Tribolium castaneum: one gene and its partners. Each later gene encodes a partner of the first gene's protein in a complex. Links are inferred from orthologs where the notes say so. Each region holds a gene or a part of one and is shown in the gene's direction. Other genes may lie near its edges. The genes, in order: thoc5, Hpr1, thoc7 and Ref1.

The links.
Region 2: the proteins of thoc5 (region 1) and Hpr1 are in contact, whole or in part, in a cryo-EM structure (PDB 7APK), measured with the Homo sapiens proteins. The link is inferred for Tribolium castaneum from reciprocal best matches to the Homo sapiens genes THOC5 and THOC1. Residues at the interface, in NP_001002877.1 of Homo sapiens: Tyr52, Arg113, Lys120, Asp124, His127, Leu128, Gln131, Asn132, Leu134, Tyr135, Glu136, Met138, His139, Thr145, Lys146, Glu149; in NP_005122.2 of Homo sapiens: Glu60, Arg145, Arg146, Leu147, Ser148, Ser150, Gln151, Lys285, Met286, Leu289, Val296, Tyr297, Phe298, Leu302, Ser304, Leu307, Leu310, Gln311, Ser313, Asp314.
Region 3: the proteins of thoc5 (region 1) and thoc7 are in contact, whole or in part, in a cryo-EM structure (PDB 7APK), measured with the Homo sapiens proteins. The link is inferred for Tribolium castaneum from reciprocal best matches to the Homo sapiens genes THOC5 and THOC7. Residues at the interface, in NP_001002877.1 of Homo sapiens: Pro48, Asp51, Tyr52, Tyr55, Cys59, Leu62, Gln63, Met66, Ala67, Gln70, Phe95, Lys99, Leu101, Asn102, Ala105, His106, Arg108, Leu109, Gly112, Arg113, Gln115, Thr116, Ala119, Lys120, Val123, Tyr126, His127, Leu130, Leu133, Glu136; in NP_079351.2 of Homo sapiens: Ala21, Asp23, Ile27, Leu30, Val31, Phe34, Tyr50, Met53, Leu54, Leu57, Cys60, Glu61, Met64, Gly65, Thr67, Leu68, Val70, Tyr71, Asn74, Met78, Tyr81, Ile84, Tyr85, Ile88, Glu89, Ser91, Ile92, Ala95, His96, Lys98.
Region 4: thoc5 (region 1) and Ref1 share a complex: the UniProt entries of both Homo sapiens proteins name them as parts of the transcription/export (TREX) complex. The link is inferred for Tribolium castaneum from reciprocal best matches to the Homo sapiens genes THOC5 and ALYREF.

The regions. Positions count from the first base shown.
Region 1 is NC_087399.1:3,174,352-3,182,375, forward strand, and holds thoc5 (THO complex subunit 5 homolog), read left to right. Parts: upstream 1-3,522; 5' UTR 3,523-3,621; coding exon 3,622-3,705; intron 3,706-3,756; coding exon 3,757-3,894; intron 3,895-3,946; coding exon 3,947-4,161; intron 4,162-4,209; coding exon 4,210-4,294; intron 4,295-4,340; coding exon 4,341-5,013; intron 5,014-5,335; coding exon 5,336-5,836; intron 5,837-5,885; coding exon 5,886-6,001; intron 6,002-6,049; coding exon 6,050-6,213; intron 6,214-6,259; coding exon 6,260-6,323; 3' UTR 6,324-6,359; downstream 6,360-8,024. Other genes in the region: PolD2 (DNA polymerase delta subunit 2), read left to right, coding at 6,968-7,340, 7,424-8,024. UniProt on the Homo sapiens protein: Component of the THO subcomplex of the TREX complex which is thought to couple mRNA transcription, processing and nuclear export, and which specifically associates with spliced mRNA and not with unspliced pre-mRNA.
Region 2 is NC_087399.1:4,611,175-4,619,233, reverse strand, and holds Hpr1 (THO complex subunit 1), read left to right. Parts: upstream 1-3,572; 5' UTR 3,573-3,674; coding exon 3,675-3,713; intron 3,714-3,760; coding exon 3,761-4,432; intron 4,433-4,478; coding exon 4,479-4,702; intron 4,703-4,750; coding exon 4,751-5,765; coding exon of another isoform or gene 5,766-5,887; 3' UTR 5,888-5,913; downstream 5,914-8,059. Other genes in the region: rRNA N6-adenosine-methyltransferase ZCCHC4, read right to left, coding at 5,762-5,887, 5,933-6,167, 6,213-6,497, 6,542-6,984, 7,030-7,290. UniProt on the Homo sapiens protein: Component of the THO subcomplex of the TREX complex which is thought to couple mRNA transcription, processing and nuclear export, and which specifically associates with spliced mRNA and not with unspliced pre-mRNA.
Region 3 is NC_087397.1:9,556,544-9,563,315, forward strand, and holds thoc7 (THO complex subunit 7 homolog), read left to right. Parts: upstream 1-1,463; 5' UTR 1,464-1,584; coding exon 1,585-1,621; intron 1,622-1,674; coding exon 1,675-2,288; 3' UTR 2,289-2,409; downstream 2,410-6,772. Other genes in the region: alpha-ketoglutarate-dependent dioxygenase alkB homolog 6, read right to left, coding at 2,410-3,057; arginine-hydroxylase NDUFAF5, mitochondrial, read left to right, coding at 3,253-3,544, 3,591-3,742, 4,083-4,422, 4,537-4,679, 4,730-4,882. UniProt on the Homo sapiens protein: Component of the THO subcomplex of the TREX complex which is thought to couple mRNA transcription, processing and nuclear export, and which specifically associates with spliced mRNA and not with unspliced pre-mRNA.
Region 4 is NC_087395.1:19,977,277-19,984,313, reverse strand, and holds Ref1 (THO complex subunit 4), read left to right. Parts: upstream 1-2,734; 5' UTR 2,735-2,846; coding exon 2,847-3,029; intron 3,030-3,134; coding exon 3,135-3,558; intron 3,559-3,633; coding exon 3,634-3,731; 3' UTR 3,732-3,974; downstream 3,975-7,037. Other genes in the region: sedoheptulokinase, read right to left, coding at 256-488, 745-745; Arl6IP1 (ADP-ribosylation factor-like protein 6-interacting protein 1), read right to left, coding at 5,259-5,477, 5,524-5,780, 5,829-5,943, 5,993-6,091, 6,142-6,153. UniProt on the Homo sapiens protein: Functions as an mRNA export adapter; component of the transcription/export (TREX) complex which is thought to couple mRNA transcription, processing and nuclear export, and specifically associates with spliced mRNA and not with unspliced pre-mRNA.

The DNA.
Region 1 (8,024 bases):
AAAAGCTCGTTCCGGTTCGATCAGTGGCGATCGTGTGCATGCCCGACACAAATCCGGGTCCAAGCCGACGTTCCCGGAGCGAATTCCGGACTTGACTGCGGCTCCGGGTTGTCGAAAGGCTGCCAGGAACCGCCCGCTTGCGCAACGTCATCGATTTTGCTGGACCAACCTGGCCTACTAGATGTATTATACATGACCCACTCGATGCGAACTGAAGACTTATCTGACGAACTTCCGAAAATTACCAGCGGAAATTATGGACCGAGAGGGTTTTTAAAGCGACAAGACGGCAGCGGAAAACAAATGAACAACAAAGAAAAAATGTAACGTCTCATTAATCTCGGAATAATTAACCCGAAATCATTGCTAACCCGGCGCATCCACCATTTTTGAGCAAAGTAAAAGTGGTGTAAAAAGTCAAAGTCGCTCTCTGGTGGCCAATTCTGATGTCAGTCTTTTGCAAAATAGCGTAAAATTTAATGTGACATCAAATGTGATAATTAAACGACAAGCAAAACGTGAAAAAATTAGCGCTAGCCCGGCGCATCCACCATTTTTGAACATTGAAAACCTCGCTAAAAATACTTAATAAGTAAATTCTTCGTTAAAGTTAAAACTTTTGCGCTTTTTGGTGATCAGTTCTAAGATCAGTCGTTTGCAAAATAGCGGGAAATTTAAATTTGTGTCACAAATTTTGTGACAAAGTTGAGATTTTACCCGAAATTATTGCCAACCCGGCGCATCCACCATCTTTAAGCAACGTAAAAGTGGTGTAAAAAGTCAAAGTCGCTCTCTGGTGGCCAATTCTGATGTCAGTCTTTTGCAAAATAGCGTAAAATTTAATGTGACATCAAATGTGATAATTAAACGACAAGCAAAACGTGAAAAATTGACACTAGCCCGGCGCATCCACCATTTTTGAACATTGAAAACCTCGCTAAAAATACTTAATAAGTAAATTCTTCGTTAAAGTTAAAACTTTTGCGCTTTTTGGTGATCAGTTCTAAGATCAGTCGTTTGCAAAATAGCGGTAAATTTAAATTTGTGTCACAAATTTTGTGACAAAGTTGAGATTTTACCCAAAATTATTGTTAACCCGGCGCATCCACCATTTTTAAGCAACGTAAAAGTGGTGTAAAAAGTCAAAGTCGCTCTCTGGTGGCCAATTCTGATGTCAGTCTTTTGCAAAATAACGTAAAATTTAATGTGACATCAAATGCGATAATTAAACGACAAGCAAAACGTGAAAAATTGACACTAGCCCGGCGCATCCACCATTTTTGAATATTGAAAACCTCGCTAAAAATACTTAATAAGTAAATTCTTCGTTAAAGTTAAAACTTTTGCGCTTTTTGGTGATCAGTTCTAAGATCAGTCGTTTGCAAAATAGCGGTAAATTTAAATTTGTGTCACAAATTTTGTGACAAAGTTGAGATTTTACCCGAAATTATTGCCAACCCGGCGCATCCACCATTTTTAAACAACGTAAAAGTGGTGTAAAAAGTCAAAGTCGCTCTCTGGTGGCCAATTCTGATGTCAGTCTTTTGCAAAATAGCGTAAAATTTAATGTGACATCAAATGTGATAATTAAACGACAAGCAAAACGTGAAAAATTAGCGCTAGCCCGGCGCATCCACCATTTTTGAACATTGAAAACCTCGCTAAAAATACTTAATAAGTAAATTCTTCGTTAAAGTTAAAACTTTTGCGCTTTTTGGTGATCAGTTCTAAGATCAGTCGTTTGCAAAATAGCGGTAAATTTAAATTTGTGTCACAAATTCTGTGACAAAGTTGAGATTTTACCCGAAATTATTGCTAACCCGGCGCATCCACCATTTTTAAACAATATAAAAATGGTACAAAAAGTCAAAAGTCGGCTCTCTGGTGGTCAATTCTAATGTCAGTCGTTTACAAGATAGCGTAAAATTTAATGTGACATCAAATGTGATAATCAGATAACAAGAAAAATGTAAAAAAATAAATGTTATCCCGGCGCATCCACCATTTTTAAACATTTTTTTATGCCAGAAAAAAATTAGTAATGTTAAACTTAAGGTTGTTGCGCTCTTTGGTAGTCAATTCTGAAATCAACGTTTGCAAAAAAGCGTGAAATTTGAGTTTTGACATAAAGTTGAGGTTTAAAATATGATTTGAATTTAATTTTTAGCTTACCAATTTTTTCAACTTATTTTTCAATAAAAATCGTTTTTTTTTTTAAAATATCCCTTGGTTTTCCACTGTAAAAAAACAGGATTCAGTGACGAATTATATAGTAAATTTTCGCATTTAATCATTTTTAAAATCCTCTTGAAAATATCAGTTTATAATCGAATATAGTGCGGTAAAACTTTTATTAAAATAGTGGAGTGTTAAGAGCGTAACGAGTTTGGCAACAAAACTGTTTACCTAAATGAAATTCAAAGCAAAACACAAAAACACTTCATTTATGTTTGCGCAGTTTTAATAACGTTTAGCGGTGTTTTATGCCTCGAAACAATTACGAAATAATTAATCTAATTTTTTTATTTTTAATAACAAAGCTTGCAAATTTATATTTTTTGGGGGAAATACATCAAAGCTAGATGGAGCCACTTCTGGCGGCGCATTCAAATGGCGAATAAATCCCCATGCCGTATTTTACTTTGTCCCAATTGTCTCAGAACGTTTTAAAGTCGGCGTTTTCTTTTTGCGGCATAAACCGTCTGTCTAGAAAATTAAGAAATACCTCGGTGAACTAATTCGCGTAAAGTCGTGCGGAAAGCTTTTCGTTCTCTTGTATAATGTGTTTTCGGACAGGCGATAAAATTTTATCGTCGTCCAGCAATATTTCCTACGTGTGATCCTATGTAGTAGTTCTGACGCGACACCTTTTTTATCATCTTGAGAACCCGTCCACATCCTCGATAACCAATACAAGAGAAACGTGCCACTGCAAACCTGGTCCTTAGCAAAATGGATGAGTAGTCAAGAACATCCAAGTCCTATCTTAACACTGCTCGATTTTATACCTGGAGAATTTTACGAGCGCTCGCGTGTAAACAACACTTGGAAGGAGATTGAAAAATACTACAAAAAACTATTAAATTACGAAGTTTACACGATTAGAATAGCTCCTGTTTATTGGGCCAAGTAATTATTCGGGGACCGATAATTGCTTTAATTCGGGCGGAAAGCGGCAAGAAGTGCGCGATGTTTAATTAAAGCAGGTAAAAACGCGTTCAAATTTCGCGCCATTCACAATTCACCCATATTTAGTGAAATAATCACGAAAATCGCCCTTAATACAATAGTGATTACCATTTACAGTCTTGATATTAAAAAGTGCGATTTTATTTTTTTTAATGTTTTTACACGAACGACAAGTCCGGTACTCTGAATGATTATATAACGACCCAAATGTTACATAATCCGATTACGTAACAACTAATAATTGAAATTATCCAAATTATTTATAATATAAGTCGCAATGTTTGGATTTTGATTTAAAAACACAGAAATTAATTCGTTTAAACCAAGATGTGGTGTCCTGAAACAAAATGGCGTCTGTTGTCTGTCAGTTTGCGCATTTCTAACCTCAAATTTTTTGTCGGCTTGTTTACATAATCTTTTTTGCTTAAAAAAATGGTTAAAGAGTCAAGTAGTTTGAAAAAAAAGCGCAAAAGTGGGACTAGTGCCGACAATGAGGCCGAAATCGACATTTATAAAGTAATTACGCCTCCCTAATTTTGGTTATCACATTTATTGATTTTTTTGCAGAAATCGGTCGAATTTGAGGAGAAAGAGGCCCTCAATCGACCGAACGATACCGACGCTCAGATTTACTTCAACACGTGCAAAGAAATTCGGCATTTATTCGCCGAAATAAGTGAACTGAAAATGAAGAGTGGGTCTGATGTAAATTGGAATTTTGTCGCTTTTTTGTATATTTTTTGGGTGTGCTTTGTAGGTCAGGGCTAAAATTACGGAAAAAACCACCGAAGTGTGTCTATTATTGGTGCTTTTGAAAAAACTGAACCGCATGGAGAAGGTGCGTTTGGTTTTTCCAAAAGAACAATTGGCTGCGGAAAAACAAAAAGTGGACAGTATTAATTTACAATATCAGAACTTGTTGTACGAGGCTAACCATCTGATGTCGGAATATCGCAAATGTTTCCAGTTCAAGTAACGAAAACCCCCTTTTTGTGTAAACCCCCCAAAAATTTCTTTCAGGTCTAAAGACGAGCACATCGAGCTGGTCCCCGTTGAGGAGTTCCTCGCCGAAGCGCCGAAAAATTTAACGACAAAATTCAAAAAAGTTGGTTTAATTTTTTTAATTTCAAAAACTTTAAAAAAAATTTTAGTTTGATGAAACCGACGAAATGGCGAAGCACGAGCTGCGGCTCGCGCGCCTCGAGTGGGAGCTCCAGCAGCGTATTCATTTGGCCGACATGTGCAAAAAACTTGAAGAGGAGAAGAAAAAACTAGAGGGGGATATTGCCGAACGTCGCAATAAATTGGATAAATTGGGGCCCCTCTTGTCTTCGGTCATGGAGGCCACGAAACCGGTGCAGGAGCACCTGGGGCTCCACATTGACAAGATCCAGGCTGAACACAAGCTTGCCTCGCTTCTACCCAACCCCCTTTACTTGTTTTATGCCAATATTGACGCCTACAGACAGGTGAACGACTCGGGGATGAGTGTGGAGATTATGGGGGACCAGGAGGAGGCTAGTCAATGGAAGGAGTTGGAGTTGGCAGAGGATGAAGAAGAGGAGGAGGAGGACATGGAACCGGAAGCTGAGATACAGGAGGTGGAGGAAATTGTCGAAACGAAGAAACGGCGTCACCGGAAGTCGGTACATGTTGATCCACTTGAGGAGAAAAAACGCAAGTTGTTACAAGTTCACCCGCTTTCTGTACAAGTTACTGTCACTACTAAAGACGGTCCTTCAATTAAAATTCGACTAAGTTATTACGCAAAATTGGAAATCGTCACTGTATCTTCAAGCGTCAATATTCCGAGCAATATTACAGGTACTTGACCCACTATCTACAAAAATCCTCTTTTAGACAAAAAAAAACGGATAGTTACAGGTATTTTGTGAATGATAAGGAAAAACAACATAAACTACACCTTTTTTACTTGGTTTGTTTTCCGTCTCTATTTACAATTGAGTCATGTCCTGTTATTATCGGAATATGCTGAAATTTTGCATACTCACGTAATATCCGTGAGCGTGAGCAGCAAAAAATTCTTCTCGCTTTTAAAGGGAAAATCATACTTTCTTACTTTTTTACTATAATGGAGGAAAAAATGCAAATTTTTTTTAGTGACCCCCGAGTGTCTTTCTTACAGGAAACGCAGCTCGTGAGGTCTTATCAAACGAAAGCGTCCTCGTGGAGCTGGTGGAGGGCGACTTCGGGCTGGACAGCCCCAACCCGTGCACCCCTTACCAACTGAAAAAAGTCGGCTTGGGGTCCTTCCAAAGCCTCGTCCCAGAGCTTGGCTACGTCTACACGTGGGCGCAAAAAATGTGCGGCATTGATTTTTTGAATAAAATGTCCGGTTCGGATCAACTGAGCCAAACTAACGTCGAGTCGGTCATGAAAACAATAAAAAAGCGCCTAAAGTCGCGGTATGCCTTGGCGAAACAATTGGAGGAGTTGGAGCGGAATGTGATTCCTGTTTTGCCGGCTAGTGTCGATTTGCCGCGAACCACGATTTCGAGTCTTACGAAATGGTCATCAGGGACGTATCAAAGCTTTTGCGAGGCTAAATTTACGGAGGGTTTGCTAGAAGCTGAGTTAATTTCGCCGAATGATATTTTCTATAAAGCGACAATCACGCGTGATAAAGGTAAGTTTGGTGAGTCACGTGATTAATTAGTGTTTTTTTTGTATTTTAGCAAATTTGCAAGCTTTTGTTGTTATCAAGAACGATTATCCGTCAATTCCACCAATTTTTGCGCTTTGTTTGAACTATAACGGGACTAGACATTCGCAGAATGATGATAATATTCGGGTTTGTTGGTAATTTTGGGTTTTTGGGTTGGTCTCACTCGTTTTACAGGACATGGAACGGTCGATTAATGTCGATTGGAACCACGAATTTTCAAATGCAAATTGGCTTTTGTCGGCCCAGATTATGTCATTGTGTGTCGGACTGGACATTTATCTGGAAACGGAGGACCCTGGGACGTTTCAACAGAACACCATGTATATTAAATCGACTTGGTAGGGATTTTGAGTTTGTTTTTTGGGGGTAATTTTGGTTTTTCAGCGCCAGAAATAGGAGAAAGCCGTTCAAATTCAGGAATATTGGGGTTGGGGTCTACACCCAATGAGTTTTTTTTTTTGACAAATAAATGAGTTTTTTGAATCGTGTTGTGTTTTTACTTTTGCCGCACTTTTTACACTTACCCTTTTCCTACACGTCTGAAGCGGGAGCATTTAACAATAAATAAAAACATTTTTCACTACACAAAGTTTTACACAGGCGTCGCGACGTCACAATTTTTTAACTAATTGTTGTACGCATGCGCTGTGGCGGGCTACTAGCTTTTTAAAGTTGGCAACACTTGCAAAAACGCGCGTGGCTTTCCCAAAACCGAGTGCTTTTGTTAAATTTGTGTGAATTTAAACGTGTCTGAGAGTTCCCCTCGTCAGAAAATAGCCCCACAGTGGTAACTGGTAAGTGGTTTCTTTGTTTCCCTCTAAAAAATTGAGAATCAATTGTCAATTCACACTTTTTGTTGGCAATCTTTTTTCTCGCGCTATGACGGCGACGCCCTAATTTTTATTTCATAATGAAATAAAATTTAATCGGTAGAATTATTAAATTACTTCAATTTCTCCGATTTTGATCATTTTTCCACCAAAGTTGGTATTTAGTGCGTAGTGTTGGCGACCCTTTTTCAAAAAAAGCGCGAGTTACATAACCTCAATCGGTGACGTAACCTCAAAGTTTTTGTTTGTGTTTTTTGCGAAAATGCCTGAAAGACTGTCGTTAGAGTACGAAAACTTGTCTCGGAAATGGTCAGAGGTGGCCCCCGACTACCATAAGCAATACTTTAATATCTATTTGGCGCGGCTTAAAGAAATGACTGCGTTACTCGAAGTCAATATTGCGAAAAAATGGGGTACGCAGTACCCCATTTGTAAATTACACAAACTATCCGAAGAGAACCACCCGAAATGTGTTGTCATTGGGACATTGTTTAAAAATCAGAAATTAAAACCGTCGATTTTGAAACAATTGGCTGAGGAGGACCAGTTGGTGCCCCAGCCCATTGTGACCCATTTTACGGACAAGTCCGACGAGCTTTTCATCGAGGACGAGTTGCAGAGATATCTGATCATAAGTAAGAACCTAATCAAGAGTGCTCTGATAATATTAATAGACGTCTTTAGGGCACTTTTGATTACGTTTTTTCTTAAATTGTAGGTTGCATTCCTTGCGATTATCTCGTCACGGGCATTTCATGCGCTCTCTTGGGGACCGCCGACGACAAGGGCCGTTTTATAGTCGAAGACTACACTTTCGCCGACTTCCGGCCCCAAATCCCGCGCCCCCTTTTGGACGACTCGGCCTTTGTTATTTTCCTAAGCGGTCTAGATTTAGTAAACAGCCCCCAGTGCGATTTAAACCTCCAACTTTTCACATTCTGGCTGTCGGGTCTTTGTGACGTGGCCCCTTTTCGAGCCTCCAAAATCACCCGTGTTATTATCGCCGGTAATTCCATTCGTAACACCCCTGAACAAGTCAAACCTTCAATTTCGATGTTATCACGTCGGCCTGAATCTTCCGATTCTATTGATGCAGTTAAACTTCTCGACAAATTTTTACTCCAATTGGGGCAAGTCATTGACGTCGATGTGATGCCGGGGGAGAACGACCCCTCCAATCGCATCCTCCCCCAAAAACCCATGCATCGCTGCATGTTCCCCCAATCGGGGGTTTACAAGTCGGTAAATCAGGTCTCTAATCCGTATTTTTACTCGCTTGGGGGTGTGCGTATTTTGGGGACGTCGGGACAGCCAGTGAG
Region 2 (8,059 bases), about 1.4 Mb from region 1:
TTACGTGGCAATAAATTATTTGAGTGTTTTATTTTATTTATAGTTTCTGTATCTAAAATGCGTCACTCAAAATGTCACTTTCAACACCGCATTTAAAGATTTTAATTGCAATTAAGTTTTATGAAATTATTGGTTTGAGAAATAAATAAATACGACACAGCAATAAAATACACCTACCTTCATATCGCTTCCACGTTGGCTACCGTTTGTAGCATTAAAAAAAAAATAATAAAAATGAAACCAAAAAAATGTTTATTTGCATTAAATTTTGAGCAAGCCACTTTCATTCATTGAAATTAAAGACAAAATTACGTGGCAATAAATTATTTGAGTGTTTTATTTTATTTATAGTTTCTGTATCTAAAATGCGTCACTCAAAATGTCACTTTCAACACCGCATTTAAAGATTTTAATTGCAATTAAGTTTTATGAAATTATTGGTTTGAGAAATAAATAAATACGACACAGCAATAAAATACACCTACCTTCATATCGCTTCCACGTTGGCTACCGTTTGTAGCATTAAAAAAAATAATAATAAAAATGAAACCAAAAAAATGTTTATTTGCATTAAATTTTGAGCAAGCCACTTTCATTCATTGAAATTAAAGACAAAATTACGTGGCAATAAATTATTTGAGTGTTTTATTTTATTTATAGTTTCTGTATCTAAAATGCGTCACTCAAAATGTCACTTTCAACACCGCATTTAAAGATTTTAATTGCAATTAAGTTTTATGAAATTATTGGTTTGAGAAATAAATAAATACGACACAGCAATAAAATACACCTACCTTCATATCGCTTCCACGTTGGCTACCGTTTGTAGCATTAAAAAAAATAATAATAAAAATGAAACCAAAAAAATGTTTATTTGCATTAAATTTTGAGCAGCCACTTTCATTCATTGAAATTAAAGACAAAATTACGTGGCAATAAATTATTTGAGTGTTTTATTTTATTTATAGTTTCTGTATCTAAAATGCGTCACTCAAAATGTCACTTTCAACACCGCATTTAAAGATTTTAATTGCAATTAAGTTTTATGAAATTATTGGTTTGAGAAATAAATAAATACGACACAGCAATAAAATACACCTACCTTCATATCGCTTCCACGTTGGCTACCGTTTGTAGCATTAAAAAAAATAATAATAAAAATGAAACCAAAAAAATGTTTATTTGCATTAAATTTTGAGCAGCCACTTTCATTCATTGAAATTAAAGACAAAATTATTACGTGGCAATTAATTATTTGAGTGTTTTATTTTATTTAAAGTTACTGTATTTAAAATGTGTCACTCAAAATATCACTTTTCAACACCGCATTTAAAGATTTTAATTGCATTTAAGTTTTATGAAATTATTGGTTTGTGAAATAAATAAATACGACACAGCAATAAAATACACCTACCTTCATATCGCTTCCACGTTGGCTACCGTTTGTAGCATTAAAAAAAATAATAATAAAAATGAAACCAAAAAAATGTTTATTTGCATTAAATTTTGAGCAGCCACTTTCATTCATTGAAATTAAAGACAAAATTATTACGTGGCAATTAATTATTTGAGTGTTTTATTTTATTTATAGTTACTGTATTTAAAATGTGTCACTCAAAATATCACTTTTCAACACCGCATTTAAAGATTTTAATTGCATTTAAGTTTTATGAAATTATTGGTTTGTGAAATAAATAAATACGACACAGCAATAAAATACACCCACCTTCATATCGCTTCCACGTTGGCTACCGTTTGTAGCATTAAAAAAAATAATAATAAAAATGAAACCAAAAAAATGTTTATTTGCATTAAATTTTGAGCAGCCACTTTCATTCATTGAAATTAAAGACAAAATTATTACGTGGCAATTAATTATTTGAGTGTTTTATTTTATTTATAGTTACTGTATTTAAAATGTGTCACTCAAAATATCACTTTTCAACACCGCATTTAAAGATTTTAATTGCAATTAAGTTTTATGAAATTATTGGTTTGAGAAATAAATAAATACGACACAGCAATAAAATACACCTACCTTCATATCGCTTCCACGTTGGCTACCGTTTGTAGCATTAAAAAAAAATAATAATAATATTGAAACCAAAAAAATGTTTATTTGCATTAAATTTTGAGCAGCCACTTTCATTCATTGAAATTAAAGACAAAATTATTACGTGGCAATTAATTATTTGAGTGTTTTATTTTATTTATAGTTACTGTATTTAAAATGTGTCACTCAAAATATCACTTTTCAACACCGCATTTAAAGATTTTAATTGCAATTAAGTTTTATGAAATTATTGGTTTGAGAAATAAATAAATACGACACAGCAATAAAATACACCTACCTTCATATCGCTTCCACGTTGGCTACCGTTTGTAGCATTAAAAAAAAATAATAATAATATTGAAACCAAAAAAATGTTTATTTGCATTAAATTTTGAGCAAGCCACTTTCATTCATTGAAATTAAAGACAAAATTATTACGTGGCAATTAATTATTTGAGTGTTTGATTATAATTTTATTTACTGTATTTAAAATGTGTCACTCAAACGCGATCACTAGCCACCGAATTGAAAATTTAAACCGGAAAATTTAGATTTGCTTGAACACACGTCCGTTCGCGACAACGGCAAGTAACAAACTGAATAAATTGAACGAAACCGCACAATACACAATAATTTAAATAAACCGACTCACCTCGCTTCGCCTCGCCTCCCGCTCCCGCTCCCGATCTGACCCGTACCACTGCTCGCTGTCGACTGAACCGCCCTCGCCGCCTGCGCCGCACACCTAACCTCGGATGTGACGTCATCACACGTCTAAAACAGGTCATAACCAGAAACATTCACTGTCCAAATCCGTCAAATTTAGAAACATTCATACACAGAATTATTCAAAATAGAACAGTATTGATCTAGAAAAATTAATTATGACAAATGTATTTGTCTATAAACGTCTAAAATTATAAAAGTTTCGCATGCAGTTAATGGAAAAATAAAAATGCATGTTTATATTTAAACAGAAACTGGCAATGTGAAATTTTAGTGCGAAAATTAGTGGTAGAGCTCGGAAACTCTGTAAACGACCACGATAGGCGGAGCCAATGCGTACTTCATCGAGTGAGGAGATTGAGCAGTGGCGTAGCAAAAAACCATTCTATGATCAAGAAGGGTTTGAGATTCATAATTTGTAGTAGTTAAAATTTCCTCTATTCAATAATTGCAAGATGAAATAGTAAAAATCATATCTAATGCTAATACACGTTGATTTCCTAGAAATACAAAGCAGAGAGGTCGAATAAATAAAAATACACAATGAGTAAAGAGTAAAAACGCGTTTATTGCAAAAAATGTTTCTACTGGTATCTTTACTATAACTGGTAATATTGAAATGTTAAACTTTAAGACGAATTCCCTACACATGTAAGTACACGCCACGCCACTGTTTTCTGCCAACACCCCTAATTTAAAGATTGGACTCGTCCGAGACGAGTTTTCGTATCTGCGCACTCCTACCACCGTGGACGATCTGTCATTTCGCGGACTCTAACATTATTTTTGACCTTTGACAGTTGTTTACAAGACGATTCCGGTCGCTTATTCAAGTATTTCACACGAAATTGAGCGTTTTTCACGTTGGGGGCCCTCCAAGCGTTGCATTTAAGCAATGGGGGGCAAATTCGAGTCGTTACGGGTCGAATACCAGGTGGGCCCCGACATAACCTCAAACGCCACTTCTAACCCGGTTTTTAGGACGTTTTACGCAAATCTTTCAAGACCAAAACCACCGATTTGATCGAAACTAAAGCCAAACACTTGTCGAAGTCCGCCATCGACCTTAAGGCCCCTCTGGACCAGGCGTTCCGCGACGTCTTACTCGAACTCCTTGAAAAGGAAGTCAACGTCTCAGTCTTACGCGAGTTGGTCGATTTTAGCGTCCTAACATGTCGCAAGGAACTGAGCAACCCCACAATGCCAGTGATGCTCCTTTCGGACATTTTTGACGCCTTAACGCTGGACGCCTGTCAGGAAATGTTCCTCTACGTAGAGAACAATGTCGAAGTGTGGAAAGAGAACTTGTTTTTCAGTTGTTGCAAAAATAATTTACTCAGGTTGTGTAACGACTTATTGAGGCGGTTATCTCGGTCCACGGCGACCGTTTTTTGCGGCCGAATTCTCCTCTTTTTGGCCAAGTTTTTCCCGTTTTCTGAACGTTCAGGTTTGAATATTGTGAGCGAATTTAATTTGGAAAACACGACAGAGTATGGCACGGACTCGAGCCAGGAAAAGGGGGGCGACGTTGACGGCGACGAAAAGAAAAACGTGATCGATTTCACGTTTTATTGCAAGTTTTGGTCGCTCCAGGATTTTTTCCGGAACCCCAACCAGTTGTACACTAAAGTGCAATGGAAACTGTTTTGCACCGTAATTATTTTTGCGCATTTTAACCGATTTTTATTATTTTTTTTAGTACGCCACGAGTGTCTTTAACACGTTCCAAGGCCTCAAGCTTGAACACGTGGAAAATAACGGGAGCTATTGTGACGAAAGTAAAAATAAAATGTACTTTTCCAAGTACCTGACGAGCCAAAAATTGCTCGACTTGCAACTGTACGACGTCAATTTTCGGCGCGCCGTCCTGTTGCAGTTTTTAATTTTATTCCAGTACCTTTCATCATCCGTAAAATTTAAATCGTGAGTCGGTTTCTTTAAACTAGACGCACCTTTAATTTATTTTTTTAGCGAAAGTTTCGAGTTAAAGTCGGACCAAAAAGAGTGGATCCAATCAAGCACCGAAAAAGTCTACAGTTTGTTACGCGAGACTCCTCCAGACGGTAAACGATTTGCCGAAATCGCCTCAAATATTCTAAGTCGGGAGGAGTATTGGAACGCTTGGAAGAACGACGGTTGTCCCGAACTGAAAAAATCGGTGGTTCCCACGGAAAGCCCCGACAAGCGCCGAACCGAAGAGCGCCCTCTCTTAGGCGACATCATTAAACAGGCCTCCAGTGAGGGCAAATACTACATGGGAAGCACCGAACTGACCAAACTGTGGAACCTATGCCCCGATAACTTGGAGGCTTGTAAAGGCCGAGAGCGCGATTTTCTCCCCACACTTGAGGATTATTTCGCCGATGCCATCGCCCAAATCGAGTCACCTGGCGCAGTCAAAGACGAAGACAATTTACTGAAAGATGGGAATTACGGGTGGCGGGCTTTGAGACTCTTGGCTAAGCGCAGCCCCCACTTTTTCACCTACAGTACTGTGATTATGAACCCCCTGTCTTCGTATTTGGAGATGATGGTCAAGAAAATAGCGCATGATAAGCCAGGTCGCGTGACCGAAAATTCGCAAGAGTCGCAACAAAACGACGCCGAGGAAGAAAATTTGTTTAAGGACACGCAAGTTGATGAAAACACCGAAGACATCAAACCGTCCGAAACGGAGGAATTTATGGACGATAAGAACGCGCGAGTCGAGCATAAATTAAACCCGAACCAGTTGCAACTCTTCAGCGAGAAAGTGGCCCCCAATTGGAAAAAACTAGCCAGCAAGTTGGGCTTCAAAACTGACGAAATCCAGTTCTTCAGTATGGAAAATGAGAAAGAGGTGGACCAGGCCCGTAATATGCTACAACTGTGGTTCGATGACGACGAAGATGCCACTTTGGACAACTTCTTGTACATTTTGGAAGGGTTGGAGATGGAGGAGGCGGCGGAAATTGTCCGAAATGAAATCAATTCGATGGATTCCTAACTGTATTTAACTCGTTTCGCCCTATTTTTACTTTTCAATTTGCGTTTCATATGTAATTGTTTGTGATCAACCTTGGGACAGTCCCGTTTTTTGTGCCCCGGTTGTTTACAGTGGAAACAATCCTTTAATAAAATTATTAAACCTTGAATTGGGAGTTTGAGACTGACCTGAGTAAAGACCAAGTCGCCGCATTTGTGGTCCGGTTGGCAGCACCGACCACATTTTTCGCAGTGCTGCCAACTCGGTTTAACGCACCTTGCACACATGGGACAGTGGGTGTACGTCCGGCCGTCTTTCGAGGTGCATTTCTGGCAAATGGGGCAGTGTTTGTTTTCGTTTGAAACCCATTTGTTGCACTCTTGGCAAAATTTGTAGCCTTCATTCGCCGGAAGGACTATTTTACTACAATTTTTTGTCCCGAAAAGTTCGTAAAAATCGTCGGCTTACCTCGGGTCCACGTTCGTGAAAATTCGGACGGGTGACCCAAATTTCCGCGCCTTAGCGCCGTCTTGAAACAAAGGATGGTTGTCATAGTCGACTTTATAATCGAGCATGGAATAGTCGGGGAGGCTGTTTAGTATTTGCGGTTCCATAAAGTAGGGGAATACCCAAAATACCGACAATTTTGTTTTTTCATTCAGTTGATTGTATTTTTCGCTGATTTGTTTGATTGTGTGGGCTAAGGGCTCGACCCGACCCCCGAAAGGTGGGTCTAAAATCAGTACGAGATCGCTGAAAAAAATAATTAAAAAAAATAGACGTAGCGCTTTAATCACCTCTCAGTTTTTAAAAAATCCTCAAACACTTGTTGAGACTCGGGGAGAAAAAAATGGTTGTTGAAACTATTGTACCAACAAAATTGCAACGGGCCGTAAAAATTGTGATACCGCGAGTCGAAATCTAGTAAAAGTGTGTCCATATCAGGGCACTGATTTGTGATAAATTCGTGGATCCTGGGGGTCCCCAAACTAATAACTTTGCGGTAATTTAAACTTTTAAAAATGTCCACGATCACACGGACCGAAGTCAGTGAAAATAAAAACTGTGCCTCCTTCTTTGCGTCCTCCAAAGGGGGCAAAAACTCACTCGGATGTGCAATTTCATAATCACTAACTGTTGTAACAAAATTATGTTCGGTATGTTTGTCCCAGAATTTTTTCAATTGGAAGCCGGCACACGTATGGCAGTATGCCCTATCAGTTGGGGGTAATTGACGCATCTAAAAAACGCACTCAAACAGCCGAATCATTTTTTAAAATCTTACTTGGTTTAAAGTTATAAATAATTTTCTGTGGTCAATATTCCGAAGAAATTTTTCACGCTCGTTTTTCCACCCCTCAGATTTGTATTTATGTTTTTCGTCTTCGTACAGAAAAAAGGGGCACAGTTTGCGGTCCCTGCAGGCCGAACAGGCGAAAAAACGTCTCTTAACCCCATTACTAGTACGTGAAAAAAGGAGGGTGGGGCCGTGGGAGCACCAGGGGTGGCTTTGCAAGTCGTCAGTAATCACTTCCACGCCTGACATACCTTTAATTTGTTGTTATTTAAGAAATTACGAACTGATTGAATCTAACATAACCCTACTTCTTGGCACACGAGTGCCACTGCCAACCTCAAAAAAAAGAAAAATTTAAATTTGAAAAAAAAAATTAAAAAAATATCGATTGTTCCATTTATTTTAAAGTTCCGGAAAAAATAAATTACAAAACTAATTAAAGAAGACGTTTAGGAAGATAACTACAGTTTTTTCCAATCTTGTTGATTATTTAAACGGTTTTTCTGGCATTTATTTGGTTCAGATTAATTAAAAGTGAGTCTATGAAACTTCACTCTAATTGATTAATTTGTTATGTATCTGTAATATTCAAAAGTAGGTAAATTATTAGCTTACAGTGCATAAAAAAGTGCGATAATTGGGATAATTGCTTGTCTTTGAACGGCCTCCAAAAGTCGTTTTACCACCTTTTTGTTGAAGAAATTTGTTTTGCCTTCGAACCAAATAAATTATTTCTTGTTTTCGATAAATTTATTTATATAAACTGATGAACTTTAATACAATTTTTGGAAAATTTTAGAAATGTTAAAGCACCAAGCTGACAAAAGCAGTTTTCAGTGTTTAAATAATTAATAATACTACTTGAAAACCTTTTATTTGCTACACCTATAACAATCGATAAACGAAATTGGCTAATAATCGATATTTGTGACAAAACACTTGGTACAAGTGGATTTATCTAGTATTAAATATTTTTCGTTTATAAATAACTTTGTGGAGTGTTAGCCTATTTATTGTT
Region 3 (6,772 bases), on another chromosome or scaffold:
TATAAGCAAAACAATAATAATCAACAAAGGAAATAATGTAACTTGGTTATGATTTTTTTCTTTAATGACGTCAGTGGTGTTATCACCATGCTCAGAACATAACAGAGACATTTAAAAATTCTCCGGACACGCGGTCTTCTCCTGAATCGTTTAAATCCGATGAGTAATTGGAGATTCGTCGACAAAATAAGAAAAAAGTGAACTTTGAACTGCTAAGATCATAATTTTCGACGGATTTTTGAAAATATGATTACGGGATTTAATTTATTGATAACTAAAGTATCCACGTTTATTAAAAATGTGATTTAAATAATGAATCAAGTAGTAATAAAATAATAATAAACAAGGAAAGTACACCGTTATCAGTCATGTTTACTTTGGTGTACTTTACCCTTTATTAATTTTTTCTCATTAGACACGTGAAATCACCTAGAGTAAATATAATCATCAGGTGATCATTCCGTTAGTACCTGTACCGATAGAAACCAGATATTAAATATCTTGCAATGCTTCAAGTTTGATATAATTGATAAAATATAAATAAAACAATATTTTAAAGCTTAATTAAATATGAAACTACGAGTTACGTGTCTAAAAAGTAAAAACTATTTAGACTGTTTATTGTAAGATTTACCGAAAATTCATCTTATTTTTTTGTTTTGAATTTAAATTGTGATGACCTTTCTAGACCTTTCTGTTTTTTGTCAAATGCACATCGCGTATGAAATACTCTAATAGCGATAAAAAATTTTGAAATATGTCTATCCAAAATAATAATAAATAAATTACCCAAATAACAAACATCATTAAAATTGAAATTAGAAACTTTTTGCTTTTTTGTGAAAACAGAAAATAGCACAAGAAATAACTTGTGGTAGCAAAAACTGGAGCAGATTCACTTAAAATGTAAAAATCTTTAATACATAGTTTATTTTTTGTTGAATTTTTTGAGGTATTATTGTGTTTACAAAAACGGCCAAAAAATAGCTTGCGGGAGCAAAAAATTGCACAAAAAAAGCTTTCAGGAGCAAAAACAACTCAAAACAAATAGGTTGCGACAAAAAAAATGCACAAAAAATTGCTTACAGGAGCAAAAAACGACACAAAAATTTGCTTTTTTGTATTTCCGGGACTAAAGTTGGTACTTTAGAAGCTTAAAGTTCGAGGGCTGTCGTTATGCAACGAGCGTATGCGAGACACCTAGACACCTGAGAACTTTAAGCGTTTTTGCATAAATTATTATTCAAAATTTTTTGTTTTTGTTTAAATTTAAAACACGTTGCTATGGAAAGCGTGTTTTAAAATAGTGAAAACATTCGTAGCCGATGACAAAATCACCAAAATACGTATTATTTAATAAAATAAATTATAGTCATATTTTTAAATGATTTACGCTTTATAAGCTTTTGTTATATGCAACCATTAAAACACTTATCTCAACATGTCCTCTAATTGCTATTTCTAGTAATTTTTGGTTTAGACTTTCGATGCAACTGTTGGCAAGTGCCAACATTTGACAATTTGTGTCATAACCTCAAAAAATACAAATTTTTCGGCGTCCACAGTGCAAACAAATCCGCCTTAATGAAACAAAAGGACAAACGTGGTACCATGTCGGATGGTAAATACTTCCCTTATAAAATTACTAGTGTGTCCAAACAGTAAAACTTCTAGAGGACATTATCAAAAGAAAGTTACTCATAGACGGTGACGGAACCGGCGACGATCGCAGGCTCAACGTAATAGCAAAAACTCTTCGAAAATGGGCAAATTCCACCGAAGACTCCCCCTTAGAGAACCAAGCAACCCACGACAAACTACTAGCACAATTAAGCCTTTGTGAATACTCAGTCAGGAGATCCCAACTCCTCACAAGAACCACATCGCGTCAGCTTGAAAACTACAAAAAAATTTACGACAAATTTGAACAGCAAATCAGCGAAGTAAAAGACTCAATCAAACAAAACAAAGACAACTTAGTACAAGCCAAAATATGGAAACAAAACCACATGATGTACGATTTGTTGGCACAAAGTATTGCCGAACAGCCAGCACGCAAGGAAACAAACGAACGCCTTTCGAACTTACAAGCGGAACTGAAAGAGTTGCACAAGGAAAAGGAGCTGCTGGAGCAGAAACTGGACATGAGGAGAAAACAATTTCACGTGCTGGTGTCCAGCGCCAGCAAATTACAAGCAATGTTGGAGGAGTCAAACGAATATTGCCATAACGACAGTCTACTTGAGGATGTGGCGGACAGCACAGGCCCTGAACCCATGTCTGAATAATTTAAGTTGGTAAAAGTGACAATTACCACGGTTACTTAATTTATGTTAGAAAATCTGACAGTTACCATGGTTACATGTCATCAGCTATGTTATTTTAGGCGAATAAAAGCAAGTACAAAAATTATTTGAATAGTTTTATTTTAAGCACCTTAGTCACATTTCTAATGGTTAGAGAAACTCTCGTGTCTCTTTTGACTTTATCGCCAATGGCGTATTGTTTCTCACAATTTAGTAAATTTGCACAGCCTTCATCAATAACATCAGTTTCAATTTCTCTAATGGAATGGAGGTATTTAGCGTACATGTCGTCTTTAATTACAACTAGACTACACCTTTCGAGAAGTAATTGGCAAACTTTAGCACGACTTTCGTTATTTTCTAAAAACTCTAATACTGTATGAGAGCCACACGAAATGGTGGCAATAGTGGGATAAAACAGTGGCCCATCAGTGTGTGGCATTATGCCTTGGCCGGGAAGATATTCGTTGATTAATACTTGATTCGGTTTGTTTCCCTCAAAAACGTTCAATTGAGCGACTTTTTCCATGTATTTCGTCAACCAGTTTGGTATTGCTTCCGGAATCATGCCTTTCTCGTGGGGCACGCCCCCGTAGTCTTGCAGTCTTCGTTTGGACAAACACGTCCACTTTGGTTTGGGCACTGAATACACATTTTTCAAAATGTGGGCCTCCTCTTCAGGTGTTACAAAATTTGGAATGTAGTAGACAGTCGGAGGGGCTTGTAACACTTGAAAACTGCTCAGATCCATCGAACACACAACAGTAAAATAAATACATGTAAGAATTTGGAACAGAAAAATGGGGCGGAGGGCTAAATCTAACTTCAATCACAACAGTTGACATACATTTGACATTTGGTTAACCTCAAAATCCTAAACTGTCATTGTGACAATTATGATTTGTTGTGCTGAAATGAGTTGTTTTTAATTCATTTAAACAGTGTCATGTCTTTGGTTAATATAGTTTTCCGTTCACGTAAATCCTCTTTGACAAAACTCCGCATTTTGAAGAATCTTAAAAAAGCGAGACACTTTTCGGTCGGTGCTTTAATTCACCAGAAAAATGACGAACACATTATGCATGTGTTTGATAGGAACACCAAGAGTTTGCAAAGGGAACGGGCGGCTTCCGCACAAGACGCCAATTTGTATGATTATTTGAAAGATGAAATTGGCTATCGACTAGCAGACAGGGTGTTTGATATCAAACGCAAGTTTAAACTGGCCGCAGACATTGGTGAGTTTAAGTTCATACAGGAAGAGGAAGGTTAAACCTAAATTAGGTTGCAGCAGGGGCTACGTGTCCAAACATATTTCACCAAAATGTATTGAAGAACTAATCTTATGTGATATGAACCGCTTTAATTTAGACAGTGTTCAAGTACAAGAGGGTATTAAAGTTAGGAAACAAGTACTAGATGAGGAACACATTGAGGTGATTGAAATTTCCTGATCAAAGTAGTCTCCGACTTTAAAATTAATAAGTTGGCGACAATGACGCCCTTGTCAGCATACTCATGTTGCCAACCTATTAATTTCAATGTCTCAGCTACGGATCTCTAAATGTTAGGATATCAAACGAAGTACAAGTAATAAGTTCCTTGATAGTTCCGTTAATGTCGCCAGAGAGCGGCAGTTGTTCCATTGTAAAGTTTAACCCTGCATTTTTTACAAGTTATTAGGGAGTTGGTTTGATTTAAATCCTGCAAGTTTGTATCTCGTTTAGTCTCCTAGCCATAATCCTCTGTAACTGGTTTAAAATATATTACATTCAGTTTGAGCCAAACTCCCTTGATCTGGTTATATCAAGTTTGAGTTTGCATTGGGTGAACGATTTGCCGAACGCTTTTAAGCAAATTTTAAAATCGCTTAAGGAGGATGGTGTTCTTCTTGCGGCGGTTTTTGGAGGAGATACTTTATATGAGTTGAGATCTTCCCTCCAGTTGGCTGAATTAGAGCGTCGTGGAGGCATTTCTCCTCACATATCTCCATTTACCGAAGTTAGAGATATTGGCAATTTGTTGACAAGGGCTGGCTTCACAATGCTCACTATTGACACTGATGAAATTGTTGTGAATTATCCTACTTTGTTTGAATTAATGTGGGACCTTAAAGGTTAGGGTGATTATACCGGGTGACTATTATCACAGTGTTTCCAATATAGTATTTTGTACAAACTGTTATAGTCACCCGGTGTATTATTATTGTTTTTATAATGTGAGTTTTTAGGAATGGCAGAGAGTAATGCTGCTATTAATAGGTCGCTTCATTTGCACCGAGAGACTCAGTTTGCTGCAGCAGCAATTTACCAACAACTTTACGGTAAAACTGATCCTGAGACGGGGAAAACCACAATACCTGCCACTTTTCAAGTGCGTACCAAATTATTTTATTTATCTAATTTGTAGTTAATCATTTTTAGATCATTAATATGTTAGGGTGGAAGCCCCATCCCAAACAACCTAAACCACTAGAGAGGGGAAGTGGGGAAGTATCATTAAAGGATTTGTACAAATTGGATGAAATCATTAAAGAAGTAAAGAAGATCAAAAACGACGATGATCAGAAGAATTAGTTTAAAGTCATTAGATAAAATCTAGTTTGGTTTGTATATTTTGACATGAAGTTTCTATATTTTATTGAAGTGTTGAAACGAAAACGTGTCTTTTTACACCTAGTCGTCGTGCATTTGGATAACATTTAAAACATAGCAAACAACAAACTACAACAGATAGAGAATTACATTCCCATAAGTATGATGCAAAAATTTTATCGTAAACTATATTAAAAAAAAATCAAACTTTCACCAATTTGCACGCTGCGAATTAAATCCTACAAAAAAATCCGTGAGACTTAATTTTTTTGTTGTATTTCTTGTAGAAATTTGTCGTCAGTTTTCCTTAGCCTGTTAAGAGTGAAAAGCTCAACATTTCTGCGTTTTTTGTAGTTATGAGTGAATTGGTTGGATTTAAAGTAATTTCAAACCATGGCCTCCTTGATGTATGGAGCTTTAACAACCTCCATACATCAAGGAGACCATGACATGCAGAGATGACACGGTAAAGTTAAAAGATTTCTGTAAAATTGCAGTTTCAATATTAATATTAGTATGCGTTAGATGGTGACATCTAGGTTCCAGGTACTAAAGTATAATTTTACAGAATTCTATAAAGAAATGTGCATCATTTATGTATACTTTTTAAAATAGCGGATTACAGTAACCTGTAAATTTTTTAGTATTACATAGTTTAATAAATAATTCCAAAACCAAAATTTGTATCAGGATCACGAAAACGCAAGAAAATCTTTACATTTTTTCACTTCTTTGAATGCTTGTAATGCTAATACACATTTTGGTTTAAAATTATTGCAGAATTATTTTATTTAAACTTCTGTATAGTTGGTTGCCTATATAACTTGTCAAAGATTGCAAAATTTTAGAAATTAAATTCGTAGTGAATCACTGGAACCCCAAAAGGTCTAAAGTCAATGTTTCTGTGATTTTAATAAACATTTTGGTTTTAAATTTTTGTTTGTTTAAGGTTTTATGGGCTTGGTTTTAGGTTGTGAGTTCTCAAGGGCAATTTTTACATTATCTAGGAGACTCCAGGGCCATTATTTACTTGGGAATTGTATCCTGATTTTGGTCATCATTGAAGAGTTTGCTCTTATCGCATTTTATGGTACTGAAAGAATAAAATCCGACTTTGAATTTATGTTGGGGCCCAATTTGCCGATCATTTGGTTGATTTTTTGGTGGTTGACGACCCAAAATGGTTAATGTACTGGATGGGATTTATACAGTCACTAAAATGGATGGTTACACCACGGTAGATGTGAGTTTAAAATTTTTGGGCCTGGTGTATATTTTAATTTATGTTTTGTGCAGAAATTTAAAGCTTTGTTTAAACGGGCGCACCCAATTTTGCAGTTCACTTGGATGCAGTGGAAGAGTAAAGCAAAACAAAACGAGAGGGCACTGGAGAATACAGGGGAACGCGAAAAAAGCAAATCAGAATCGAACGAGTAATGGATACTGAGTATGTGGACCCCTACTACTATTTGAAAATGAACAAAATAAGATTAAGCCTCCAAGACTGGTTATAAGTTGTCGAGGACGCAATTCATAATTGTTTCAGTTCGGAAGAGGTGCTTTTAGGAATGGGCCATATATTATTCCAGACACTAATATAACGCATGTTTGCCACAGGAGGTTTATTGAAAGCGAAGATACCACAGAACTGTAATTTTTCCGAAATTATTTTTGTATATACCGACTTATATACCAAGATATTACATACTTATTGTTATTTATTTTGTTACAGTTTTTTAATAAAGTGTTAAAATTGTGTTTTTTTTTATTTTCCTTCATTAATAACTTTTACTCAATTATCTAAATAATTATCAAGTTAGGCAACCTAAACTTTTGCTTGTACAACTGGTTGCATAATGTTTGCATTTTTTA
Region 4 (7,037 bases), on another chromosome or scaffold:
AATAAAAGACCTCGATTGCCACATGCCTTCAAATAGGAAGTTGCTCGTTTAGTTATAGTTCTACTCACCTCGTCCGAGTAAATTTCTACTACAAATAGTCACTCAAAAAAATATATATCTATTTGAATTATCTATTGTAGTTGTGCGATTTTCGCACAAGCAAAGTTTTTTGGTCGAAACTGAAGGTGAATGCGGCCTTCCGGCTAATGATAATATTTACGTGGAATTGCCGGCGATAAGGCAAGGTCAGCTCACCTGCTGCAGCAGATTTTTCTGTAATTTGGCCACGCACGTGTTGAGGGCGGAAATGATTTTCGGGACGTCTTGTTTGTTTCCGTCGATGCCTTGGTCACTGGGGACGTTCGATTGTGTCTCCTTGCCGATTTGAGCGACGATTTCGTTGTTTTCGGGGTTGAAAACGCACACTTTGACCGAAGTGGTGCCGATGTCGACGCCTAGGACGTACCCCGGGCCGGCCATGGCGCTCACTGTATAATTAAATTTTATCAGATGCGAAATAGTAGATTAAGATAAAGTTAAGTTCGCGGTTTAATATATACCCGAGCGTATGTAAACACATACTGATTGAGTGAATTGAACTATGTTAAACATAACACGATATAATGTTTGTGTTGTACTCAAAATATTATTTTATCAGTTTATTAAATTCACGAAATAGCTACAAACGGACGATCTACAGATAGAAAACTTGACCTCTAGAGAAATTTTAATTAGGATACGTACTTACCAGTCTTCAGCCGGCGTCCCCACGACTATTATTAAAACAAACGCCCATTCATAATTGTACCATATTATTCTATTGTACTAAGTGCCAAATATTATTTTTATCGTTGGAGAAATGGTCACGAAGAGATTTTGATTCGTCGGCTGGATAAAACGGCAGTCGACTGCTATTGATTGCCGACACAACTTGCGTCATTTTCGGCGTGACCCTGTTCACGTACGAAATAGAACCACACTCAGTCATAATGTGGTCATAATAAAGTAACATTAACTTAAGTACACTAATTGATACGAGACATCTATTGTTCCTCAAACGAACTAATCCTGAAACGACTTTTCAATAAATTTCTGCCATGTAAACGTGCAGATGATAAATGAGCATAAACAAACCCACGCTCACTTGATCCGATTAATTTTCGAATTTTATGAGTGGACATTGTTTTTGACCTGTACTCTACTCGATATTTTTAGGAGCGGCGTAAAATAATATTTGTTATTAGAAAAAATTCCAAACTGCAAGATTAAACAGTTTCCAATTTTTTTTTATCTAGATTCATCTATCAGAGCGTAAATATAACAATTTTTATTAACTGGTGCATTGTGATAAACTCACCCAGTCATGACATTGACACGTATCAGTGGCCCTCGAGTATACCTACTTACAATAACGGCGATAACAGACTTCCAATTTGATAATGATGATAAATGAAGAAGACAGTTTGTGCACCTGTTTAAAATTAACACGAGTAAAATTAAAAAAACCTCTCAGGATTCAACCGATCCTTTAAATTATTATGCTGAGATCTTTAATCTCAGTGAATGTATTTTTGTATATAACCCAATAAAACTATAAAATCAAAAATATGTTAGGATCATCTGGTGCTTTACAGTTTTCTCTGTGCATGTGATTTTTTTCAGGATTATTCTACAATTCCTTACAATAAATATTAATTAATTAAAAAAATCAATATAATAATTAATTAACTAAATTTATAGTCTTAGGGACTAGTTACTGTACAAAGCCAAATAAAATTTAATTCAGGATTAAACTTCAGTGGTGGAGAACTTACGGATAAAACGAACTAGTTTTCCGTTCATAACGAACTTTTCACAGAATTTTGAGAAATATGTCGGGGTTGATAGTAAGTATTTAATATAATAGAGAAGTGTTAACTGATGAACAAATTATTAACTAACTAAAAATAAATATTTTTTGTGTTTTGACATCTAATTACTGTGTAATTAACTACTTAATCCAAACTTTTATTATTTTTTGGGATATTAGAGGTTGAAACTTTCACTTCAGCGTCTAAAAATTAATCAGAAACGCAATATCAACTAGGAAATTGGGATTGCGTCTTTTGAGTACTTTTCCCAAAGTTTATATGACTAACAGACGGTGATTTGAGCAAACGAGCGTATGCGAGTTACATAATATACACCCGAGAACTTTAAACGTTTTCGCGTGAGTGTTTGTTTTGTTGGAATTTTTAAATTAAATTAATATTTTTTTATTACATTTTTTAAATTTCTTTTAAATTTAAACGTGTTCACATTTGATTTTTTTTACTTTTAATGGATCAAATAAAGAAAGTCTAACATTACACAATATTTCAATTCTGCCAAAGATTCTTCAAACACTAAAATGTGTTAATGAGTCAATATAAATAAACATCTGTTTTGTATTGACAATATTTTAACATACATTAGGTAGAAGAACAAAATTTCATTTACAAATACCTACCTACATAAACTGGTAGAACAAAGTTTGAAAAAAATTGAATGTATAGGGAACCAATAATACAGCGGTGTTTTTACATTGGTGTAAATAGGTTACCTATTTCATAAACATAAAAATAAGTTTTTATTCTTTGTTTCTGTATTATGCTGAAAATGCAAAAAATTGCCTAATACATGCGGTCGTATTTTTTTTTGGTAAAATCCGGGCAGGTTCCTGTGTTGCCGACAGCGCAGTGACGTGGCGCATGCGCACAGCGTCTGTCGTTCATTTTGTACGCCATTTTGTCGTTGGTTGTGTGCGTTGCCGCCGGGTGTAGAAAAAGTGAATTTCTCAGTCAAATCAGCGTACAAAATCAGTAAAAATGGTCGACACAATTGAAATGAGTTTAGATGAGATAATAAAATCCAAGCCCCGGCGCGGCGGCCGTCGCGGAGGTCGCGGCGGAACCCGCGGGGGTGGCGCGCCAAGACGCGGCACGTTCCGAAGAGCCGGCGGCGTCCAAAGGGGCCGAGGACGCGGAGGAATAACGCGCCAGTACACCCGGGTAATTGTTTCTAACTATGTTTATACTTAAGCTGCCCCGCGATGGAAGCGGCTAGCGTGCATCCAGCCGGAGAGCCGGAATTTACCCCCATCCATGTTTGTTTAGGGAGATGTGAACAGTGCTTGGAAGCACGATCTGTTCGAGGGCTACGGCCCGCGTAAAGTGGCCGCGGCTCGGGCCGTTGTGCAGTCCAATGTGGGCCCCACTAAGCTCATGGTGGGCAATTTAGACTTTGCGGTCTCCGACTCGGATATTCAGGAATTGTTCGCCGAGTTTGGGCCGCTAAAGAGCGCCTCGGTGCACTATGACCGCTCGGGGCGGTCGCTCGGCACCGCTGATGTGATTTTCGAAAGGCGCACCGACGCTATTAAGGCCATGAAGCAGTACAACGGAGTGCCTCTCGACGGACGCGCCATGAACATTCAAATCATCACGTCGGAGATTCCGTCGCCGGTCAGGAGGCCCACGGGAGAGAGGAAGTTCCAAAGCAGAAGAGGGGCTGCACCTGCCAAGGGACGACCTAACAGAGGTACAATTACTTGACCAGCGGCGGCGACGCCTCCAACAGCCGGATTTTTCAACTAAACAAATGTTTGTTTGCCAGGTCGTGGAGGAGGACGAAGTTTCAGAAATCAAAAGAAACAACCGACAGCTGAAGAACTCGACGCTGAATTAGACGCCTACACCAAGGAGATGAAATAAAATAAGTGCTATTAATATCAGAGACGCTCAACGCGCCACTTTTTGTGACTTGTGTTTAGTTCTTTCGTATTTTTATTTTGTATTTTGATTGTAACATCGAGCCTTACATTTTATAAAAAATAACCACTAAAGTACGAGGATTACGTATGCGGTTCGTTTTTTCCACAACTAAATCTAGTGTTAGGCTGTTTTCTCTTGTTAATGTAAATTGTATTGATAGGAATAAATAAGAATTAAGTGTGACTTGTCGTTTCATTAGAAATTTTTTTTATTTATACATAAAACTGCATCAGCCAAATGTATCACATGACGTTAAGACCGAGTTGTATAAAAAATTAATCGCCTTCAATCTTGATTTAAAACCATAATAAATCTTGTAACAGTTGTCGCTAAAGGCACGTTGACACGGATCGATTTTAGTCGTTTATTTCAAGTTGAACAATAAAACTTCAACAAAAATCATCGTCAGAATCTTTGTTGTGTCTTAAGTGGATCAAGTTTTTTACGATGATTTCCATTAAAAATTTTCATCTTTAATTGAACAACTAAAGTGGGTCCGTGAGAACTTGCGTTTAGGGTTTATATTACTAAATATACGACAAAACAAATTACAAAAAGTACATCCAATCGAAGCGAGTGCACTCAACGTAATTTTCATCAATAAAGAATACTAAAAGAAAATAATAATTTATTAAGCAACAGTGTAAGATTAATAATTATAGTAACTGAGCTGTCTTGTGGCTGCTTGTAATGTTCACAATTTTGTATCAAAATTAAATTACATTAAGTTTTCTTAGTTCCTATAATTCAACTTTTTTAAATTCGCCTAGTATTTTGTGTGAATATCCTTGTTCCGCATAGTTACCGAATTTAATCTAGTGTAGATATTTATAAACAAAATCTACATGTTCTTAGGGCATTAATCTGATTATAATAAAATGGAAACCACGACACCACTATATATTCCAAACGTGGCCTACAATATGTCCAAAGACTTAATATTTTTGAAACCTTTATTGTTTATTCGTGTAAAATAAATGAGTTCTAACATCTTACGTGCTTGAGCACAAATTGTTTCTATATGTGGAACAAAAAACAATAATAAAATAACGTTGGTGCAAAACTCTTTTTATATTCCTGTATTTTCCGTGTCGCCGGAAGGCTTTGGCTTGAACATATCGAACCACCAATTGACGGAATAAAATAATTAAAAATGGTTTGCTAAAAGTATAAGTGTGGAACTTAAAAACAATAAAAAATAATGAAAATAGTGTTTTGCATTTAGTTGCAACAAGCATAACATTTTATAAGAAATATCACTAAAAAACGAGGATTACATACAGTTGTTTTTTTACAACTACAACTAGTGTTAGGCTTTTTCCTCTTGTATTGATGGGAATAAATAAGGCTCCAAGTGTGACTTGTCATTTCATTAGAAAATTATTTATTTATGTATAAAACTACATTTTAAATTACATCAGTCAAAAGTATCACACAACAATAAAAGAACAAATTTTATTGAGCAAATTAATCGTCCTTTTCTTGGCTACCTTTTGACTTAGTTTGTCGCATCAATTCCATCAGAAAAGTACCGACGTATTCACTCCATTTTGTAATTATCCCATTATGTTCCATTCCTGGGAAGAGGAGTAGAAAAGTTACGAAAACGTACGACAAAAACAAGTTATTAAAAGTACATCCAATCCAAGCGAGTGCACTCAACGTAATCATAGTCAATAAAAAGTACTAAAAGAAAATAATCAAACATTGCGACACGACCACAATAAAATACCATTTTTCGATTGGTGCTCTTCATTTTATAAAACCGAGCCCAAGACAACTCTAATCTAGCTTTATACAAAATAACGTTAGTGCAAAACTCCTCATACTCCTGTTCTTTCCGTGCCGTCCACATCTCCGGTTTAAACATAGAGCTACCAATTGACGGAATCAAATAATCAAAAATGGTCAAAACTAAACCAAAAACTGAAAATACTGTCAAAATACTCGGATCCAACAACCATAAAAACGTGAAAAGGATTGTGCTTCCTGAAACATCAGTTACAGCCTCTGCCACTTAATGGGGGCCCACTTTACCGCCAACAATGGCAGTGGGGTGCCATTGCTTCTCCCAAACTAACACCCTCTTAGCCCCCAGGATGATCTCCCTCCAGTTCTCTAACCCATGCCTCAACTTCCGGATTTGTGCCTCCTGTAATAACACAAAGCGTTACATAAGCCCCCAATCCCGGATTTGATACCATAATCGAGGGATAAGTGAACTTGTACTCGCGCGTTTCGTAAGGGGGCTCTGTCTCGAAGCTGTGCGTGTATTTGCTCTCGCTGGGAGAATCGCCAGCCTTTAATAGGAGGGGCATTGGGGGGCCATAATTAACCTAGATTGGGTTACCTGATCTGCCATTTCGGTTAATTTTGTCGATTCATCAAAATAATACAACGGAATTTGACTGACGTTTCAATTTCGCAACTCTTTTGTTTTTTATCAGGCCCCTGAAAGTGTATACAAATTATGTGTTCACTGGGAGGGGTGGGGCAAAGGGGGGAAACGGCTAAAATAGTTCGTGTGCTCCAGCTTAGAGGTCGCGTCAGTTGCAAAGAAATCTGTAAATTTAAAGGAATCTGTCACACATTTTGCTAAAAGTAAAGAAGGTTCACTTAAAAATAATCGACGTGCGCACACTTCTCTTTTTAATTCTTTGATTTATCAACAGCCGATTATTTTGCTGTCGTTGCGGTTTTTGGCGACATTTTGTTTTAATGTGTTTTAAAGACTTCAGAAAACGATTTAACGTGATTTTTTGGATGTTTTTGTGATCAAACATCTCTACTTTTATATGGATCTTTTATTTGAATCTAGTGTATAGTGTGAATGACAGTGTTTTAATGAAGCATGAATCAACTTAAGGCAAATTAAGGTAAACGTTATTGAAAGGTGTCTATACAACAATTAATTGCGATTTCTAGATATTAATATAATCATATTACACCAAGAAGGATCACACAAACTTCTCTAATAAAGGAATTTCTTGATGTTTAGGAGGTGAAGACTGTCCTTGGAGATGATAACGGTTCTTGGGATGTAATTGAAAATCCCATGAAGACGAGTTAAATATAATGTGCAGTAATTAATAGGTATATCATAATAATAAATAAATTTATTGTAGTTGCGAAGCTAGTATTTTGTGAAAGCAGGGGGTTTAGGACTTGCTATGGTTCAAGGTTTTCAAATTCGCCATGTCCCTCTATGTCTTAATCTTTTATGTTGTTTTACACAATGTTATAACG